Linked DNA regions of Rattus norvegicus. The protein of the gene in region 1 purifies or fractionates together with the protein of each later gene. This does not show direct contact. Links are inferred from orthologs where the notes say so. Each region holds a gene or a part of one and is shown on either strand. Other genes may lie near its edges. The genes, in order: Xrn2 and Cdkn2aip.

The links.
Region 2: the proteins of Xrn2 (region 1) and Cdkn2aip purify together in Homo sapiens (affinity purification with mass spectrometry; 4 studies listed by BioGRID and IntAct, with this or other methods). This does not show direct contact. The link is inferred for Rattus norvegicus from reciprocal best matches to the Homo sapiens genes XRN2 and CDKN2AIP.

What each region holds. Positions count from the first base shown.
Region 1 is NC_086021.1:154,886,807-154,896,264, forward strand, and holds the start of Xrn2 (5'-3' exoribonuclease 2), read left to right. Parts: upstream 1-3,554; 5' UTR 3,555-3,599; coding exon 3,600-3,674; intron 3,675-9,458. UniProt on the Homo sapiens protein: Possesses 5'->3' exoribonuclease activity. May promote the termination of transcription by RNA polymerase II.
Region 2 is NC_086034.1:51,264,910-51,274,367, reverse strand, and holds Cdkn2aip (CDKN2A-interacting protein), read right to left. Parts: upstream 5,437-9,458; 5' UTR 5,094-5,436; coding exon 4,843-5,093; intron 4,385-4,842; coding exon 4,254-4,384; intron 3,688-4,253; coding exon 2,357-3,687; 3' UTR 2,158-2,356; downstream 1-2,157. UniProt on the Homo sapiens protein: Regulates DNA damage response in a dose-dependent manner through a number of signaling pathways involved in cell proliferation, apoptosis and senescence.

The DNA.
Region 1 (9,458 bases):
GACTGTTCTTCCAAAGGTCCCGAGTTCAAATCCCAGCAACTACATGGTGATTCACAACCATCTGTAATGAAACCTAATGCTCTCTTCTGGTGTGTCTGAACACAGCTACAGTGTACTTATATATAATGAATAAATAAATCTTTAAAAAAAGAGTTGCCTTTATTGTCATATTATGAGAACTATATTTTCATGGCAGTTTAGTAACTTTTAGTTTTTAAAAAAAATCTAGATTTACATGGCATAAGGAAAAAATGAACACTGTTTTACATATTATCCTTTACAGGAATGTAATTCAGATGTCAGCGGAAAGCTTTCCTCTGGCCCATGAAATCTTGGTGAACATGTCTCCGACCCTCTGGCTTCTAAATCTGTAGAAGCCTATAGTCTGTTTCAATGTTTGTGTGCATTTCCAACACAAACTCTCATCACCTCTTCTGTTCTTGAGCTGTTCATTGCCCACACTTGTGATTCCAGACCACAGTGACTCAACACCAGACTCAGTCTCTTCTTTAATTTATACAAGACAAATTCAAGCTTGAATATTAAAAGACTTCCTAGGACACACTGGGTTGAAGAAAGTGTTACAAGGTTTAGTCCATACCCTCCTGCCACTGTCTGGGTTTCACCTTTTTATTTTTTAGATAAAACACCACGATCAAGGAAGTTTATAGAAGGGTTTATCTGAGCTTATGGTTCCAGAGGAAGAAGAATCCATCACCATCGAGATTGGGAAGCATGGCAGCAGGCAGCCATGACAGCTGGCACAGAAAGCTGAGAGCTCCTGCCTTAACCTGCAAGCAAGAAGCAGAGAGAGCAAACTGGGAATGGTGTCTGGCTTTTGAAACTCGCAAGGCCCGCTTCTAGTAACGCACTCATTCCAACAAGGTCAGACCTACCTCTCCAAAAATGGCCACCAACTGGGGACCAAGCACTCAAAATGCCTGAGACTGTGGGGGAACATCTCATACAAGCCACACTCATCAATCAAATTACAAGGAGAGGTTTTTAGCTCAAAACCCCCCTGGAATTAGACTTAGACCTGTTGAGGGATGATCGGCTTTTCCTCTCCTTCAGTGATGCAGATATGGGCCAGGTTAAACCGCATTCAAAGTAGCCAAAGGCAGGTTTATTAGGAGGCAGCTCTCAGCTTCACTGGTCTCATAGGTGGAGCTCAGTGAAGTCGAGCATCTATCTAGGCTAAAGCAAGGGGTTTTTTACGGGTCTTGGGCACTGGATAATGATGTGTGAACTAGGAGCTGCGATTGTGTCCACATTATAGTCAAAAACTGAGTCCCAGGGCAGGCCCTCTTGGGTGAGTTGTGGGAAACACGGAGAGAAGGGGAGGTGACCTGTTAGCCTAGAGTGCTTTCCAAGCAGGTGGGGGATTTTTCTGTGTGGGAGGGGCTAAAGATGGGGTAGGAGGGCAAATGGGGTTTCCCACCTTGAGCTGGGGATGAGCAGGATTTCCAAACGAACATCATAGAGTAGCATACGTTTCTGTATGTTTCCTTTGTTTTTTGGACCCAGGCTACCCTCCTCTTCAGTGCTAGGATTACTTGAGTATGCCTCTTTGTCAGACCAGGATGTTTTGATGCTTATTACCATATACAGCTTTTGACTTATTTTTTACATTTCAAAGTTCAAAACCATTTGTGATCAACTCTGGGGAACTCAATGTAGCAAGCTGCCTGCTCCTCCCCAACTGCCTATGAATTTGTGTTCACATAAGAACATAGCCCATTCCAGAGGACACAAACTCTTAAAGATTTATTTATTTTATGTGTATGAGTACACTATATCCATCTTCAGACACACCAGAAGAGGGCATCAGATCCCATTACAGATGGTTGTGAGCCACCATGTGGTTGCTGGGAATTGAACTCAGGACCTCTGGAAGAGCAGTCGGTGCTCTTAACCACTGAGCCATCTCTCCAGCCCTGGACCCAAACTCTTAAGAAGGAACTATTTCCAATTAAAATGGGAATTTTCATCATAGAAAAAATATTCTAGAACAAACACATATATATGCACATATATAACTATTCTTAAACATAGGCTAAGTTCCACAGTAGCATTCAAATGAAGTCATTAAACCATTGAGGGAGGGACAACATTTACTGCCTGACAGGTAGCAGAGAAACCCTTTACAGAGGCCTCTTAAGGTGAGCCTTTGTCATTGAGTGTGATTTGTCAGGCCAAGGGGGATTCAGGGAAGAGACTTTCAGGCTTGAGCAAATGGGCACGAATACCTCCTCTTTCAAGACTTTTTTTTCATAAGCTTCGGGTGGGGTGGGGGATAGACAGGGCACATTTGAAGCCACCAGAAAACAAGGGTTAAAAATACGTTGGTTTGAGAGCAGAGGATTAAATGATCCTTGCTTGAAGTGAAATACAAGCAGTATGAATAAGCAAGTGATTTAACTCTTTGACAACCTGACTTTATGTGTTATGCTTTACAAAAAAATGGTACAGCAAAACCACAGAATGGGTGGAGTTGTTACACTGTGCCCGACTCAGGCAAACAATCACTGCCTCAAGGCCCACAGAGAAACATGCTTCCACAAAACAGCCCCTTCCAGCTTTTACTTTCTTGCCTGCTGTATGCACTGAATCTAATAATTTTTTTTCCCCTCCCTGTTTGGAGAATTCTTTCACACTGGAGTCACCAGGATGACACAGCCAGCCAGCACAGACGGCTCAACTGGTGATAAGATAATTCTTTAGTTCCTTGCCTTAGCACATCATAGGTACTCAACAAATGCTAGAACGTGATATTGGGAAATGTTGATACACTGAGCATAGCAACAAGGTTGTTTAACACCAAATTCTAGCTAGATTCTGCAACTATTTAAAGTGACTCGTCGGGTTGAGAGATGGTTTAGCAGTAAAGCGTTCATGCTGCTTTTCCAAAGGAGTAGAGTTTGACTTCTGGCAGTCACAGCAGGCAGATGACAGCTCCAGGGGATCTGATGCCTCTGGCCTCCATAGGTACCATCACTCGTTCACATAACCACATGTAGATATACACACATTCACATAATTAAAAATAAATCTTAAACGTATTTTGAAAAGTTGCTTATGCAAAAGCAGATTTTAAAAAAATTTGTAGGACACTTTATGATGCTTTTTCATAGTTCTGCCAGGCACAGTTGCATTTTAAAAAAAAATGAGAGAAACCAGGAAATGGAAACTAGAGTGTAGATGGTTCTATTCAGCCCAAGACTGATTGTGAGAAAGGAAGTCAGATAGGCCACGCCTTTGCAAAGCCTGACCACACCAGCAAGGAACTGCTGCCGCGGGCCTACTGTGGCCCGTGCTCTGAGGACTACTGCGGGCGAAGGCGTCAGCCCGGAGTCCAGCTCTCAAAGGCTTTAGGTCTCACCACCTACAGCCCGTCCAAACCGGCCACCGCTTGTGCAGTTCAAACGAACTCTCACTTAACCGAGCTCCTTTCCCTGCTTCCCTCGCGGTGGTGGAATGACGTAACTTCCGGTCGCTGGACGCACGTGGGAGGAAGTGCCCTCGGCTGGCCGCTCCCGCCAGTCTCGTTGGTTACACTCTCCCGCTGCCCGGCTGCTGCTTCGAGCTGCCCGCTGGTCATGGGAGTCCCGGCGTTCTTCCGCTGGCTCAGCCGCAAGTACCCGTCCATCATTGTCAATTGCGTGGAGGAGAAGGTGAGGAGGCGGCCAGTACGCCGGAGTGGGGACCCAGCGCGACACGTCTAGGCCGCGGCCCTCGGGAACAGGCGCCCGCCCCAGGGAGCCTCGCGGGCCGCTTCGCGGGTTCGCGGTTCCGGAGGCGCTCTGAGCGAAGCAAGGGGGAGTAGGGGTCTGTAGGGGCTTGGACGGCTCCTCCCCCGACTGCCAAGCCGGGTACCCCAGACTCCGCCCACGGCTTTGTTTCCTCGGCTGCCCGCGCCGCTCAGAGTTCGAAAGGGCGCCCTGTCTGGTCAGCCCCCTAACGCGGGCAGCAGGGTTGGCTGGGTAGGGACCGCTGCCTGGTCCACTTTGTTGAGCCCGGCATTCCCGGTGGTCGGATCGCTTGTTTTCCACCGGAGACTGGCCATTTGTTGCAGTTAACCGTGCTAGTTACGAAGGACTAGGATGGAGGAGCGGTCTGTCTCCCCGCGGGGGCTTCGCTGTCTTAAGACTGCCGGGCAGCTCGCTGTTTTCACTTCCTGTCTTCTCGAGTGGTGTTAGTTTGCTACTTCACAGGCAGACTTATAGCTGTTCCGATTCGTGAGTTTTGCTTTTGTCGTTCGCGTAATTCTGTCCGAGTTCGACTTTGTACTCTCAATTAGAATTTCTGGATTGGAAAAGTTCCGGGCACATGTGTCCCCTCCCACTTTCGTCTTTAGAACCGCCTCCTTCCAAGAACCTATTTCTCCTGCTTAAGTTATTTACTTTCTTACTTCGTGTCTTAGAAGAAACCAAAAGCTTTGTTTTGGTGACATTCCTAGTATTTTTTTCTGTTCTCAAAAGACAAATTGCTAAGCTGAATTATTATTTCCTTTGTAAAACTTTGCCTTCCCCTGGGAGGACGTTCCAAAGGGAAAGCCACAGTTGTTCTTCCGTTCTTTTCCGTCCAGTCTTCTCTCTCGAAAGACAGACGCTTTGGACTGTTTTGGCACTGTCTCTGAATATGGTTGTTTGATTTATCTGTTTTAGGTCTATATAATTTTGGGTAGAAGAGGAATTAGCTATTTATTCACCACCACCCGTTTTTCTAATGCTAATTCTTGTATCTGATGGTAAATTTTGTAATTTAATGGAGAACTGGTTTAAACGTATATCGGGTCAAGGCATGGCATATACATTTAGTCCCAGCACTTGGGAGAGAGGTAGGCTTGAGTTATGGAGTTCAGCCCGATCTACACAGAGTTCAAAGCAAATTAAGGCTTATATAGTGAGACCCTCTCGCAAAACAAAAATTCTATCGCCAAACGAAGTATCATTTTCTACTTTCTAAGACTGATGTTAGCTTCCCCACCCCCACCCCCCAACTCTAGCTGTCTTAATTCTTTGGTCCCCTGTACTTTTTAGTTCTCGTTCAAGATTGTCAAACCTTTGACCATACAAGCTGCGAGAGAAGTGGTGTTGTTGGCTGTTTTATACTGTGATTGTAGTTTGAGGTTGCTTATCTTTTACTAAAGCTAGCTCCTCCCTTACCCTGTCCCTCTCACCCTTAGTTTGGGTACACTTTATACCTCATCTAAATTATTTTATCAGGCATTCTGTCAAGTCCTTTTTTTTTTTTTTCCATTGCGCCTCTTTTAAGTATTAATTTTTCCTTTGGAGATACAAATTCCAGACGCTCACACACAGGCAATCTCCTGTGTACTGACATTCCCAGCTTGGAGTTGTCTTTACAGCTATTTTCTTCCCAGCACTTTTTTTCAATATGCTTCCTGGAAAGATGCTTCCCGAGAATTACAGTTTGCAGAATAGCCCATCTCTCTTGGCTTAAAGCTATCTTTGGTTTTTATTTTTGAATTGACTTTTTAGGAAATGCCACTGTGTGATCTGAAATACCTTTATTTTCTCCGAGTGATTATGACTCCAAGTTGGAAAACCAGTTCCCATGAAGATGTTAGAAACACTCTTTCTAGCTGTTATTGTTGATGAAAATTTAAACATTTTCTTTTAAGACAAGGTCTCACTATGTAGTTCTGTTAGGCCTGAAACTCAGATTTGCCTGCCTCTACCTCCCCAGTGCTGGAATTTAAAGCCGCTTGCTGGCTGCTAGGTCTGGCAGGGTTTTGTGGTATGTATTTCCCAGATTTTGGTACCATTTACCATGCACCAGACTCTGTTCTGAGCACTGGATCGATACTAGGTTGTTAGGTGCCTGTTATGGAGAAGGAAATCAAAAGGGGAAGATTCTTTTCAATTACTTTTCCAATTTTTGAAAAATTTCAATATTTCTGAGTTACTTATTCAGCTAATATCATACCAATATGAAAGCTGGGAAGGCCTTGTGTCTAACTTATGACCCTCCCCTTTCATTCTTAAGAACTGGTCAGTTTGTGTGTGCATGTATTAGTTGTTCACAGTGTTTTCATTGTGCCATTTGTATACATTTACACAATATGTTTAGATCCCATCCACCCTTTTACATCCTTCTTTCTTAGGTGTCCCCATACTATCCCTGTGCGGGCCCCCCCCCCCCCAATCCCTTACTTCCCTACCTTCATTGACTTCTGTCTCTGTGTGAGCAATTAGTGTCCTTTAGAAGAATATGGGTGAGAGTGAGCTTTCTCGAGCCTACTCCCCACCCCACCCCCCAGTTATCTTTCCCCTCCCCCTCTCCTCTTCTATTCAACAGGGTTTCTCCATGTAGCCCTGGCTGTCCTGGAACTTGCTCTGTCGACCAGGATGGCCTTAAACTCAGAGTTCTATCTGCCTCTACCTACTGAGTGCTAGGATTAAAGGTGTGCACCACCACCTGGTGAAAGTTTTTGAGTATGTATATATGTACACAGACACAAGTGTACCTGCTCCCAGGACAGAGCAGAGAGACAGTGACATGTCTTAGCATGTGTATGGAGGTCAAAGAACAACTTCGTGAAATCAGTTCTTTACTTCTAAGCAAGCACCTTTACCCAGTTGAACTTCGGGTTGGCCTCTATGCTATTTATTCTTCCTAGTTCATTGACTTTCATGTTCCGTAGTTAGATTTTGAGCTTAATTGATATGCATTAACCATCTCTTTCATTTTTGAAACATAGTCCAGGTTGTCCAGGAACTCATAATCCTACTGGGTGCTGGGATTGTAGGCATGCACAATCATATAGGCACAGCTAGATCATATCATATGGTAATTCTACCTTTCTGCCTTTTTCTTCCTTTTCTCTTTTTCATAATGGCTGCCATCACACACTTTGCTTCTAGCAGTGTGTGTCAGCACTCCCCAGTATCTGTGCCAGCATATGATGCTTGATTTCATGTGATAGTCATTTTCACTGGGGTGAAATCTCATTGTAGTTTTGATTTGCATTTCTTGATGACTAAGGGTTTTTCTTTGTATTATTGGCCACTTTATCTTTTAAAAGGTATTATTTCACTTATTTATTTATTGGATTATGTGTGTATCAGATAACTAACTGGCAGGAATGTTTCATTCTGTATGCTCTCACTACCAATTGTTTGCTTTTTTTTAATGCAGAGACTTAATTTCATGGAATCTCACTTGTTAATTTTTTTCTTTAAAATTTATTTTTATTCATGTGTGTGTATGAGTGCCTTCTGAGGCCACAAGAGGGTGTTGGATTTCCCCCTAGAGATGGAGTTGGGGCAAATGTGACCCCCCCCATGTTGGTGCTGGGAACCAAACTTTCTTCCTCTAGAAGAGCAACAAGTGCTCTCAACCACGTTGCCTTCTTTTCACCCTCTCATTTGTCTTTCTTCCTGGAAATTTCCTGGACAATTAGAGTCCTTGCTTGTGCTTTATCTTAAAGTGTTTTCCTTATATTTTCTTCTGGTAGTTGCAGAGTTTCAGGTCTAATACTTAAATCTTTGATCTATTTTGAATTTATGTTGTAATGAACAAGAGCTAGAACTCTAGTTTGAGTCCTTTGCCTGTGAACACTCAGTTCTGCAGCATTGTTTCTTGAAAAGTCTGGCATGTTTTTAGCACTTTTCCCAAATCCGTGATGGCTGTTGCTATTTATTTCTGGGTCCTCTTTCATTTCTTTTTTAACATGTTTGTTTTTGGGGTCCATAACTTTGCTGATTTTATTACCACGGCTCTGTTGTGTAATTTGAGATGGAGAATACTGACACCTCTAGTGTTTTTCTTTATGCTCAGTATTACTTTGGCTTCTTGTGTTCCCATGTGAATATTTTTTTTTCCTGTAGAGGTTGTCATTGAAACTTTGATAATAGATTACATGGAATCTGTAGATTGCTTTTGGGCTGTTCCAAAGCATGGGAGATTTTAGTCTTCTAGTATCTGCATCAATTTCTTCAGTGTTGCATTATCTTTTATTTTGGGATTATATGCATAGTGCATGCACATGGGTATGTGGTTGCTTGTGCATGAAGAGGACATAGGACATTGAGTATCTTCCTCTTTTACTTTCCACCTTATATTCTCTCTCTCTCTCTCTCTCTCTCTCTCTCTCTCTCTCTCTCTCTCTCTCTTTTTCCGGAGCTGGGACCGAACCCAGGGCCTTGTGCTTGCTAGGCAAGCGCTCTACCACTGAGCTAAATCCCCAACCCCTCTCATGGAATAAAAATTGAGCTCCTTATTCTTTAAGGGAGGAATTTTCACTGAATTGGGAGCTCACTTTTTAGGTGAGGCTAACTGGCTAGCAAACTTTCATGATTTCCTTGTCTTACCCTCCCAACTATAGGTTTATAGGCACATATAGCTGTGACTTGCTCTTTATACACAGATCCTGGGATTCAATTTAGATATGCTCAATGCTCACAGAGCAAGCACATTTACCTATTGAGGCGTCTCCTCAGTGTCCAAATTTCATAGAGTTCTTTTACTTCCATGATCATATTTATTGTGGAATGTTTTTTGTTGGGTGGGTGGTGGTTGATTGATTGGCTTTGTTTTTGAAGCTATTGTGAATGTGGTTTTCCCCCCTAGTTTCTCAGCATGTTCATTATTTGTATATAGAAAAACTTCCTGCCTCATTGTGTAGACTAAGCTGACCTCTAACTCACAAGAGGCCTATCTGCCTTCCTAGTGCTGGGATATGTTTGCTACTTGTCTTGTTGTCTTTTTAACTTAGGAGTCACTGACCAAGTCCAATTAGTGCTCTTCACCTATATATGTGTGTTGGGTTATCCACTGGAGCACCAACAGTATACTGGGTGCTACACTCCAAAGAAAATTGTCTCTCCCTTCTCTAGCTGTGGACTGGACCTTGTGAGCCTTTCTCTCATCCATGCTAGAATGTTGACCGACTTGATCTTGTATAGGTTTTTGTATAAGTGATCCCAACTTCTGGGAGTTCATGGTGTAATGGCCACATCATATCCAGATGTCTGCATTTTCCCAGTACCATCTCCACCCTTTAGGTCTTAGATTCTTTCTGTCTCCTCTTCCATGATGTTCCCTGAGCCTTGATAATGATGTCTCACTTATGGATAAACATTAATAGTCACTTATTCTTGGATGCTACTGATTAAAAAAACAAAATCAAAACTTTTGTTTGTGTCTGTATGTATGTGTGTGCATGCATGTGTACATGCCCTGGTGTGTTTGTGGAGGTCAGGGAACCAATTTGGCTCTCTTGCCATGTGGATCCTGGGGCTCAATCTCAGTTCATCAGGCTTGCTAGTAGTCACCTCTACCCCATGACCTATATTGCTAGCCTTTTTACTGATTTTATTTTAATACTGATTGTATATGCTACTTCACTGAAAATGTTTATCCACTCTAAGAGCTGGTAGCCTTTAGGATATACTTAAAATTATTTTTGTATGAGAATATGTGTGCCATGG
Region 2 (9,458 bases), on another chromosome or scaffold:
GAAAGTTGAGAACCCTCAAGAACAGATTCCAAAGTTACTGTTCTTTCATTACACTGTACTGATGAATTATAAAATACATATTTTTGTTCTAAATCAAAGATCTTGAATGTTCTTTTTTGCAGGTTTGTCTATGTTAAGGTGTATATTGATCTCAAGTCTCTCAGATGCTCTCTATCTTACAAATGGAGGCAGTCTTTTGGTGCAGCTCCCTGATTCCACCTGTTTTCCCAGTGCGGCAATTACAGATGGGCCATCATTGTTGCCCAGCGTTTACATGGAAGCAACAAATACTCAACTCACTGAGCCAACTCCTAGCCACGGGGATCTTTAAATTTTTATTAAGAGCATGTTGTACAAATAAACACTATAACCATAGGAGTGGTCAAACAGCTGTAACCCCAACATGAAACAGAGAAAGGAACGCAACGCTACTTTCCAAGTTCAAGACCAGCCAGAACCATATAACACCCTATCTCTCAAACACCAAGAACATAGATCATCAGTTTTCATTTATTTTTGTTTTATGGAAGGTACTGGAAATTCAACTTAGGGCCCTGTATGCTAAGTAAGCACTCTATCACCTACCCTTTTCTTGGCAGGGTTCCTCAGAGATCTGCCTGCTTCTGCCTTCTGAGTGTTGGGATTAAAGACATGCCCCACCACTGTCATAAGACTTATAGCTCAGAACCTGTTTACTTTTCTCAAACTGCTCTATAGTCAAACACTCAAAGTCCTCAGCTCTTCTTGACTTGGCCTCTCAAGAAGTTGAAATTATATGTCTATGAGTGCACGCACTCCTCCACATCAAAAGATTACTATTATTTAAAGAATTTGCTTAAAACAAACCATTTTAGGAAATTACCAAATCATCTAGTATGATGTATTTCAGAAATTTATTTATTCTACTTTTTGGCTCACTTTTTTGTAAGCATTAGTTTACAAAGTTTACAACTCACTTATATTATTGCTTTCCACAATATATAAAGGTAGCCCATTTACAGAATATAGATTTTGCTCTGGTATCCAATGAACCATTCTCAAAAACAAATAATTTAAAAATGTCATCTGGCAAATTACAAACATCCCTGATTATTTCAGTTCAAGCTCAGGAAACTAAACATCTTTATTATTCTTAAACTACAAAATAATTTTTATACACTTAAACTGTGCTTATGTCCAACCTTCCAATACCAATACAACTAGTGAATGAGGTCTTTTTACTGCATACTATCTCCATTACTGTTTGGTGTGCAGCTCCTAGAAAGCCAGAAGGCCCGAAGTCATATACCTTAGACCAGACTTTTAATTAAGAGTCACCTAAGATACAGATTTTACTTCATTACTAACAGATGCAGTCCACACGAATACACAATCATTAAAGAACTGACCATGGCTCTCTAGTCTTCTCCACATTCTTCTGAAATCTGCAAATACAAAAACCACCTGGTTCTAGATATAAACTTTAACTTCCCTATTTATAAAAATGTATATTATATACTATGAAAACTACTTGGTTGTAGTTTACTTTGAATAGTAGTGAGGAGCCAACTTACAAGACTTAGTTATGACTTCAGGGTGGGAAAAAAAAAACACAACCTCTTGAAAAGGTAAAATAGCTTAAAGCATTTAATATCTAAACAAATCAGTCTGTTCATAGTAGTCACAAAATATGCTTAATATAGAAATCAACATTATGTTTTAAGAAAGTGTAAATTGCTTTTTACCTCAAAACATAAATTAACCTGCTCAAGAATCTGCAGCGGTCAAAATCATGGTGAATTTTAAACAATTTCAGAATAAAATAACAATAAGTACTTTATACTGCTTTATATCTAAAAAAAAAAAGTTTACAGCATCTTCTCATGAAAATAGTTTGAGACAATTACTCTTATTCTTTAAGAGATGTTCAACATTATGAGTAACATTCTTAAAACCTTAAGTTGTATATTTTTCACACATTCAAATACTGTGGTCCCCTTTCTTTTATATGATTTAATCAAGTTAGAAAAAAAAGCATGGTAGACAACTTAATACATTTCTACCAAATTGGTAGTAGTACAAAAATTTTAAGATTCTACAGAACTACACATCGTACCTAATATATCATTAAAAATAGAAGACAGTATTTTCCTCAGCAAATAAAACAGCACACTGGTATGCTGTCAGTGTATACCCTTTAATATGCACTGTCATTCATAAATTATTTACAGCTCTACTTTAATGAAGAGAACTAGAATTTAAATTTTCTGCAAAACTGGAAAAAAGCAATATAAAATCTGTGAAAGCCAGTGTTTCATATAAAAGCCAGTTTTTCTCTTCAAACCCCAGGTACTGGATGCAGTGATACCTTGGGGAATCACAGTAATTCTTGAGGATGTTTCAGTGCTGGAGGTAAGTTTACAGGTCTTGATTCTTCATCGAGGAGTACTAGATCTTCTATCTCATTGCCTCTGTACTTCCTTTTACAGATCTTTACCACCACCTTCTTCTTGAGAAATAACTTAAGTGCCTCTCTTGATGCGACTGCTTTTGCATTTTCTTTGCTTTTCCCACAGCCAGTGCCCAAATACACCGATTTACACCTCAATTCACATACAATACTTTCTTGAGAGCTCTTATTTTGAGGCAGATCTGCCAGTTCTTTCAGTGGGACAAAAAACACATCTAGTGTTGCTTTCAGAGCCTCAATAGCTGCATTTAGCAGCTCGCCATGATTCACATTGGGGCTAAAGCCACCAACTGCTACCAACTTCCACGCCACTGTCTTATACAGTCTATTGAAGAAAGGCTGCTTCTGCTTTATGTCTTCATTGGTTAACTTCCGACAAGTGAATTTGACAGAACTCTCACTGGACTGTGAGGTACTTTTAGAAGGCAACTGTGAAGTGCTACTCTGAGAACTACTCTTAGAAGCTAGCTGAGACATGCTTCCTAAGGAAGTGCTTTTGGAAGCCACAGATCCACTGCTCTGGGAGCTGCTTTTGGAAGCTAACAGTGATGCAGCTACCTGAGAAGTCAGTAGTGATGTATTTGTTGAACTGCTCTTGGGCATTAGTAAAGAGGTGCCTGATGAGGAACTGTTTTTAGAAACTGATGATGAAATGTTTGCCTCTGAACTAGCTTTGGTTGTTAACCCACTCGAAGCTGTCTCTGAACTAGACTTACAAGACAGTAATGGCAACTCTACTTCTGAGCTTCCGGAGGAACCCAACAAGGGCACCTCAATCTCTGAGCTGCTCTGAGAAACTGAAACTGAAGAACCTTCCAAAGCATTCTTTCTAGGTGATCCACTATGCTGTCTGGAATCAGTGGATTTCGTCACATGACTATTCAGACTGGATTTTAACAGTGAAGAAACAAAGGATGCTGAACCATGTTTATCTGGAGCTTCTGGCTCAGAAGCTTTTCCAGACCCTGCTGATGTTACCTGAGAGGAATTGCTGCTGCTTTGGCTGCAAACAGATCTATCGCCTTCACTTGTGGAACTATTCTGATGGGAGACACCAGAGTTGCTCCGAGCTGAGGTCCCACTACTCTCTGATTTGGTGGACGACCCCTTGGATCCTGAACTGTTTTCTTGCTGAGCTGAACGATCTGTTTTGGCAGATTTTTTCCCATGATCTCGCTCAACTGAAGAATTGTTTTTTCCTTCTATGGATCGTTTTTTGGATGGCTCTTCTACCCCTTCTAGAAAGAAGAGAAACACAGGTATTTTACTAGGAGTCCCCACAGACATGTCGATCAACAAAACATTCATTTAAAAAGCACAGAGAGCAGGGTGGCAGCACATGCCTTTAATCCTGGCATGCAAGAACCCCGAATTTGAGGCCAGCCTGGTCTACAGAGCAAGTTCCAGGATAGGCTGGGCTACACAGAGAAACCCTATCAAAACAAAACAAAAACAAGCAAACAACAACAACAACAAAAGCACAAAATAATTTCAGAAAGTAGTTTTTCTTAAAGTATGGAACAACTTCATTAATGTATTAAAACAGGTATTGTTAATATTAATTTCTAATATTAAATTAAGAGCATCAGACATCAGACTTGAACATCTAAAACAGTTAAAGTAAATTATCAAATTCAGCACCTAAGACAGACAGAAACACAGTTTACCTTTAACATTTCAGCTAGATTAATACAGCATACACACTCTGGATTGTTAAAAAGAAATTAGTAATGACAATAATTCCTAATTTTATCAAGCTTATTTTCTAAACTCCTATGTATGTTCACATCTATGATCTGCTAACCATTGCTACTCGATATCCCTCTTTTCTTCACCTTGGCAACCAGTTCGTCTCGTGTGGTATGGATTGGAGCATCTGTCACTTTGATGCCTTCAGCCATACTAAGAATTTTATCCATAACTTTTTGAGGGTACCTGAAAAAGAAGCAAAAGTCGCTCTCAAGAAGTGTTTTTCGAAAAGTACTGGCAGTGTGAGGAATGCAGGCCCGCGGAGACTGCATTTCCTGGTCGCGATCAAAGTGTACGAACCGCGAGACAACTTTTGTTTCCCGAGATGCCAGGGACAAATGTCCTAGGGCTCGGGAGGCGGGTCTGTGCCAGGGAACCTTTAAACTCGGTCTCCCTGGCCGAGAACCGTCAGCTATGCGGCAACAACTCCATCTGCCGGGCGCAAACAACCCGGACACCGGCCAACAGTGAGGTCGAGGCTGCCACGGTCGCCCCTCTTGCCTTCCGAGGACCGACAGTGCCACCGATTCCCGCGCTTCCAAAGCGGCCCTCCCTAGCGACTCTGGTCCCCGCGAGCGCGCCTCGCCCAGCGACAGGGGGCGCGGACGAAGCCCGGAAGGCTGGATAGCGACGCTCCCACTCACCGGCACCCTAGGAAGACATGGTTTGCCCAGGCCATGGAGAAGGAGACGAGCTGCTGTAGCTGCCGACTGCGGGCTCCGCTTTCCGCGTCCGCAGTCTCCTCGGTCGCGGGGACCAGGTCCCCGGCATTGCGAAGCAGAAACTCCCGGCGGTGGCGCCAGTGTTTGTCCGTCTCGCCCTCGCAGCGAAGGGTCTCCACCCAGGCGGCTACTCGCGGGTTCTGGCTCAGGTACTCGGATACCTCCTGCGCCATGTTGGGACCCTGCGAGACGAGGAGAGCGCGAGCGCACAGGGCGGAGCGGCGAGCGGCCCTGTCAGCGCGGCCTGCACCGGCGGCCCTCCCGAGAACGCCCCTCCAGAAGCCCAAACACCAAACAACAGAACAAGGCGCCGACGAACCGCCCACTTCCGCCTGCCGCTGGCTCGCTCCCTTTTATAACCTCGCTGCCGCCGCGCACTCGCGCGCCCTTCCGGCGCGAGCGCGTTCTCCCAGGATGCTTTGCAGCGCCCAGCCGCCGGCGACTCAGCGGTTGCGCCCACCTCGGTCGGAGGGCGCGCCCGGCTGAGGCGGAGCCGAGGCGACTGAGGGGCAGGCGTGCCTCCCGCCCTGAGAGGGCGCGCGGCGCCAGTGCGGCAGCCTCAGCGTTCCGGCGGCGCTTTGTGACGCCGGGCTCTGTTTCCGCCCCCGGGCTTGGCGACCGCGGGCGGAACGCGGAGACCTGGCGTCGCGGGAGTCGCCGCTCCGCCTGCGCGTCTCCGCCCTCGGACACTCGCAGTCGCGCGCGGCCAAAATAAACAAAAGCTGGCTTCCATGGCCGCCCTGCCTCAAGAGCTGCTGTGTACCGGGGGAAGTAAACCCAGTGTCCCGAGGCCAGGAAAGTCTCGGGGCGTTTGGGGACGTGGGGATGGATGTCTTGAGCGGCAGGGGCAATAAAAGTACTAAGCACGAATGTAACTTAACCGGCAAGCACAAGCTACTCCTCCAGTTTATTTAAAGCCAGACGACCTTTGCGCCTGCGCCGCACGATCTGGCTTGGTTTCCGCGGTTTCTTAGGTTCCTGGTTCAACCCAGACAATACCTGCTTCCTCTCCCCTAACGTTTTTGGTCCTCAAGCTATAAACAACCCTATGTCAACTGCTTTTAGCTGTTAACGCCGGTAGGACCAAAGTGGAAATGTATCTGCTTATCTCGTCTGCCCGGCCTCTTCCCTCAAGAGCAACTGTGCTTTTGCACTTTTATGTGTTCCATGTTTTTGCTTGCATGTCTGCCTGTGCTTTATGTACATGTCTGATGCCCTTGGACGCAAGAGGGCTATGGATCTGGAGTTGAAGTGATGCGGGATTTTGAGCGCCGTGTGGGTTCTGGGAATTGAACCCAGGTCTTCTTGAAGATCTGCGGGTACGGCGGAGCCAACTCTCCAACCCGTGGTTTTTTAGTTGCTGGTGTGTTTATTAACATTTCCAAGTTTAGTTATATGTATAATATTAGTGAAATCAAAGCATGAGTGTAATAATATGAATAGTGATAAATTATGTGATTGAATTTTCCTCCAATAGATGTTTGCGTTTCTGTTGTGAGAATGCTTAAATCAGAATGATTGGGGTTGGGGATTTAGCTCAGTGGTAGAGCGCTTGCCTAGGAAGCGCAAGGCCCTGGGTTCGGTCCCCAGCTCCGAAAAAAAAAAACAAAAAAACAAAAAAAACAGAATGATTAAGGAAAAAAATTAAGTCATTTTGTTACTAAACTTTGACAGTTATAAGCCTGTGCCCTAACACGATTCTGCTTCAATTAGCCAATTAGAAGATTCACATTAGTGGGAAGCAGGTAAAGACCTTTAAAGAGACCACACAGGCAAGGGGAGACAAAGACGGCTGCAGTGTGCACTCTGGAGCAGAGGCAGGCGGATCTCTGAGTTGAGGCCAGCTTGGTCTACAGAGCTAGTTCCAGGACTACACTAAGAAACCGTTTTCCAAACCCTGCCCCCTCCCGCTAGATGAAGAGAGGAGAGGAAGGGGGGGTGTGGAGACAGGAGGAGAAGGGGGAGGGGAGAGGAGAGTAGGAAAGAGGATGAGAGAGAAAAACAGAGAGAGAGAGAGAGAGAGAGAGAGAGAGAGAGAGAGAAATGAGGGAGATGGATACTGACACCCACCCGACCCCAAGTGAGTCTTTCAGACCCTGAAATGAGATTCACGTTTAAATAAAAGGCTAGGGATGTGGACATTTAAGATATGAGTCATCACAAATGGGATCTCATAAAACTGCAAAGCTTCTGTAAGGCAAAGGACACTGTGGTTAGGACAAAACGGCAACCAACAGATTGGGAAAAGATCTTTACCAATCCTACAACAGATAGAGGCCTTATTTCCAAAATATACAAAGAACTCAAGAAGTTAGACCGCAGGGAAACAAATAACCCTATTAAAAAATGGGGTTCAGAGCTAAACAAAGAATTCACAGCTGAGGAATGCCGAATGGCTGAGAAACACCTAAAGAAATGTTCAACATCTTTAGTCATAAGGGAAATGCAAATCAAAACAACCCTGAGATTTCACCTCACACCAGTGCGATTGGCTAAGATCAAAAACTCAGGTGACAGCAGATGCTGGCGAGGATGTGGAGAAAGAGGAACACTCCTCCATTGTTGGTGGGGTTGCAGACTGGTAAAACCATTCTGGAAATCAGTCTGGAGGTTCCTCAGAAAATTGGACATTGAACTGCCTGATGATCCAGCTATACCTCTCTTGGGCATATACCCAAAAGATGCCTCAACATATAAAAGAGACACGTGCTCCACTATGTTCATCGCAGCCTTATTTATAATAGCCAGAAGCTGGAAAGAACCCAGATGCCCTTCAACAGAGGAATGGATACAGAAAATGTGGTACATCTACACAATGGAATATTACTCAGCTATCAAAAACAACGAGTTTATGAAATTCATAGGCAAATGGTTGGAACTGGAAAATATCATCCTGAGTGAGCTAACCCAATCACAGAAAGACATACATGGTATGCACTCATTGATAAGTGGCTATTAGCCCAAATGCTTGAATTACCCTAGATCCCTAGAACAAACGAAACTCAAGACGGATGATCAAAATGTGAATGCTTCACTCCTTCTTTAAATGAGGAAAAAGAATACCCTTGGCAGGGAAGGGAGAGGCAAAGATTAAAACAGAGACTGAAGGAACACCCATTCAGAGCCTGCCCCACATGTGGCCCATACATATACAGCCACCCAATTAGACAAGATGGATGAAGCAAAGAAGTGCAGACCGACAGGAGCCGGATGTAGATCGCTCCTGAGAGACACAGCCAGAATACAGCAAATATAGAGGCGAATGCCAGCAGCAAACCACTGAACTGAGAATAGGTCCCCTATTGAAGGAATCAGAGAAAGAACTGGAAGAGCTTGAAGGGGCTCGAGACCCCAAAAGTACAACAATGCCAAGCAACCAGAGCTTCCAGGGACTAAGCCACTACCTAAAGACTATACATGGACTGACCCTGGACTCTGACCCCATAGGTAGCAATGAATATCCTAGTAAGAGCACCAGTGGAAGGGGAAGCCCTGGGTCCTGCTAAGACTGAACCCACAGTGAACTAGTCTATGGGGGGAGGGCGGCAATGGGGGGAGGGTTGGGAGGGGAACACCCATAAGGAAGGGGAGGGGGGAGGGGGATGTTTGCCCGGAAACCGGGAAAGGGAATAACACTCGAAATGTATATAAGAAATACTCAAGTTAATAAAAAAAAAAAAAAAAAAAAAAAAAAAAAAAAAAAAGAAAATAAATCACCAAAGAATAAGAAAAAAAAAAAAAAAAAAAAAAAAAAAAGATATGAGTCATCAAACAGCGGCATTGTCCAGGCCTGAGTCTCCGAGGCGAGGTGGCTAAACTGTGGTCAGAACTTGAAATCTTTTTCAAGAAGACAAAGTCCCATTAGCTGGAGCCTTTTACTTCTAAGATTTTGGGGGGAAATTCTCATTTTTTAAGGGTCCATTGTTTGAATAGTCTAATAAGAGAGTAAGAGGGGCTGGGGATTTAGCTCAGTGGTAGAGCGCTTACCTAGGAAGCGCAAGGCCCTGGGTTCGGTCCCCAGCTCCGAAAAAAAAAAAAAAAAAAAAAAAAAAAAAGAGAGTAAGAAGCAGGAGCCTTTTAAATTACCTTCATTTCAGCCCAGCCAGTCACCCCAAGCCAAGATCTATGAGCTTGAGGCCAGCCTGGTTAACAAAGTGAACAGGAACAGCCAGGGCTACACAGAGAAAGCCTGTCTGGAAAAAAAAAAAAAAACAAAAAACAAAACACTTTAAAAAAATTTCTTTTTCTACCAGGCAGTTACAATGTTAGATGACACTGAATAAGCAGAAATGCTGTCTTTTAAAATTTATATACATGCTGGAGCAATAAGAACCAGCTTCATGAAAACACTGCCTTCCTTGCCATACCAGAAGAGGCTACAACAGCAGGCCAAAAACCGTTTTTTGGAAGCTTCAATCTTGCTCTCCTATTCCTTTTATAGTTAAGACCTGAAATGTAAAGGCTATAGAAGCATTTGGCAAGGGGTTCAGAAGAAAATATGATTTCATAGCTAGGTGACATTGGTAAATTGTTTATTT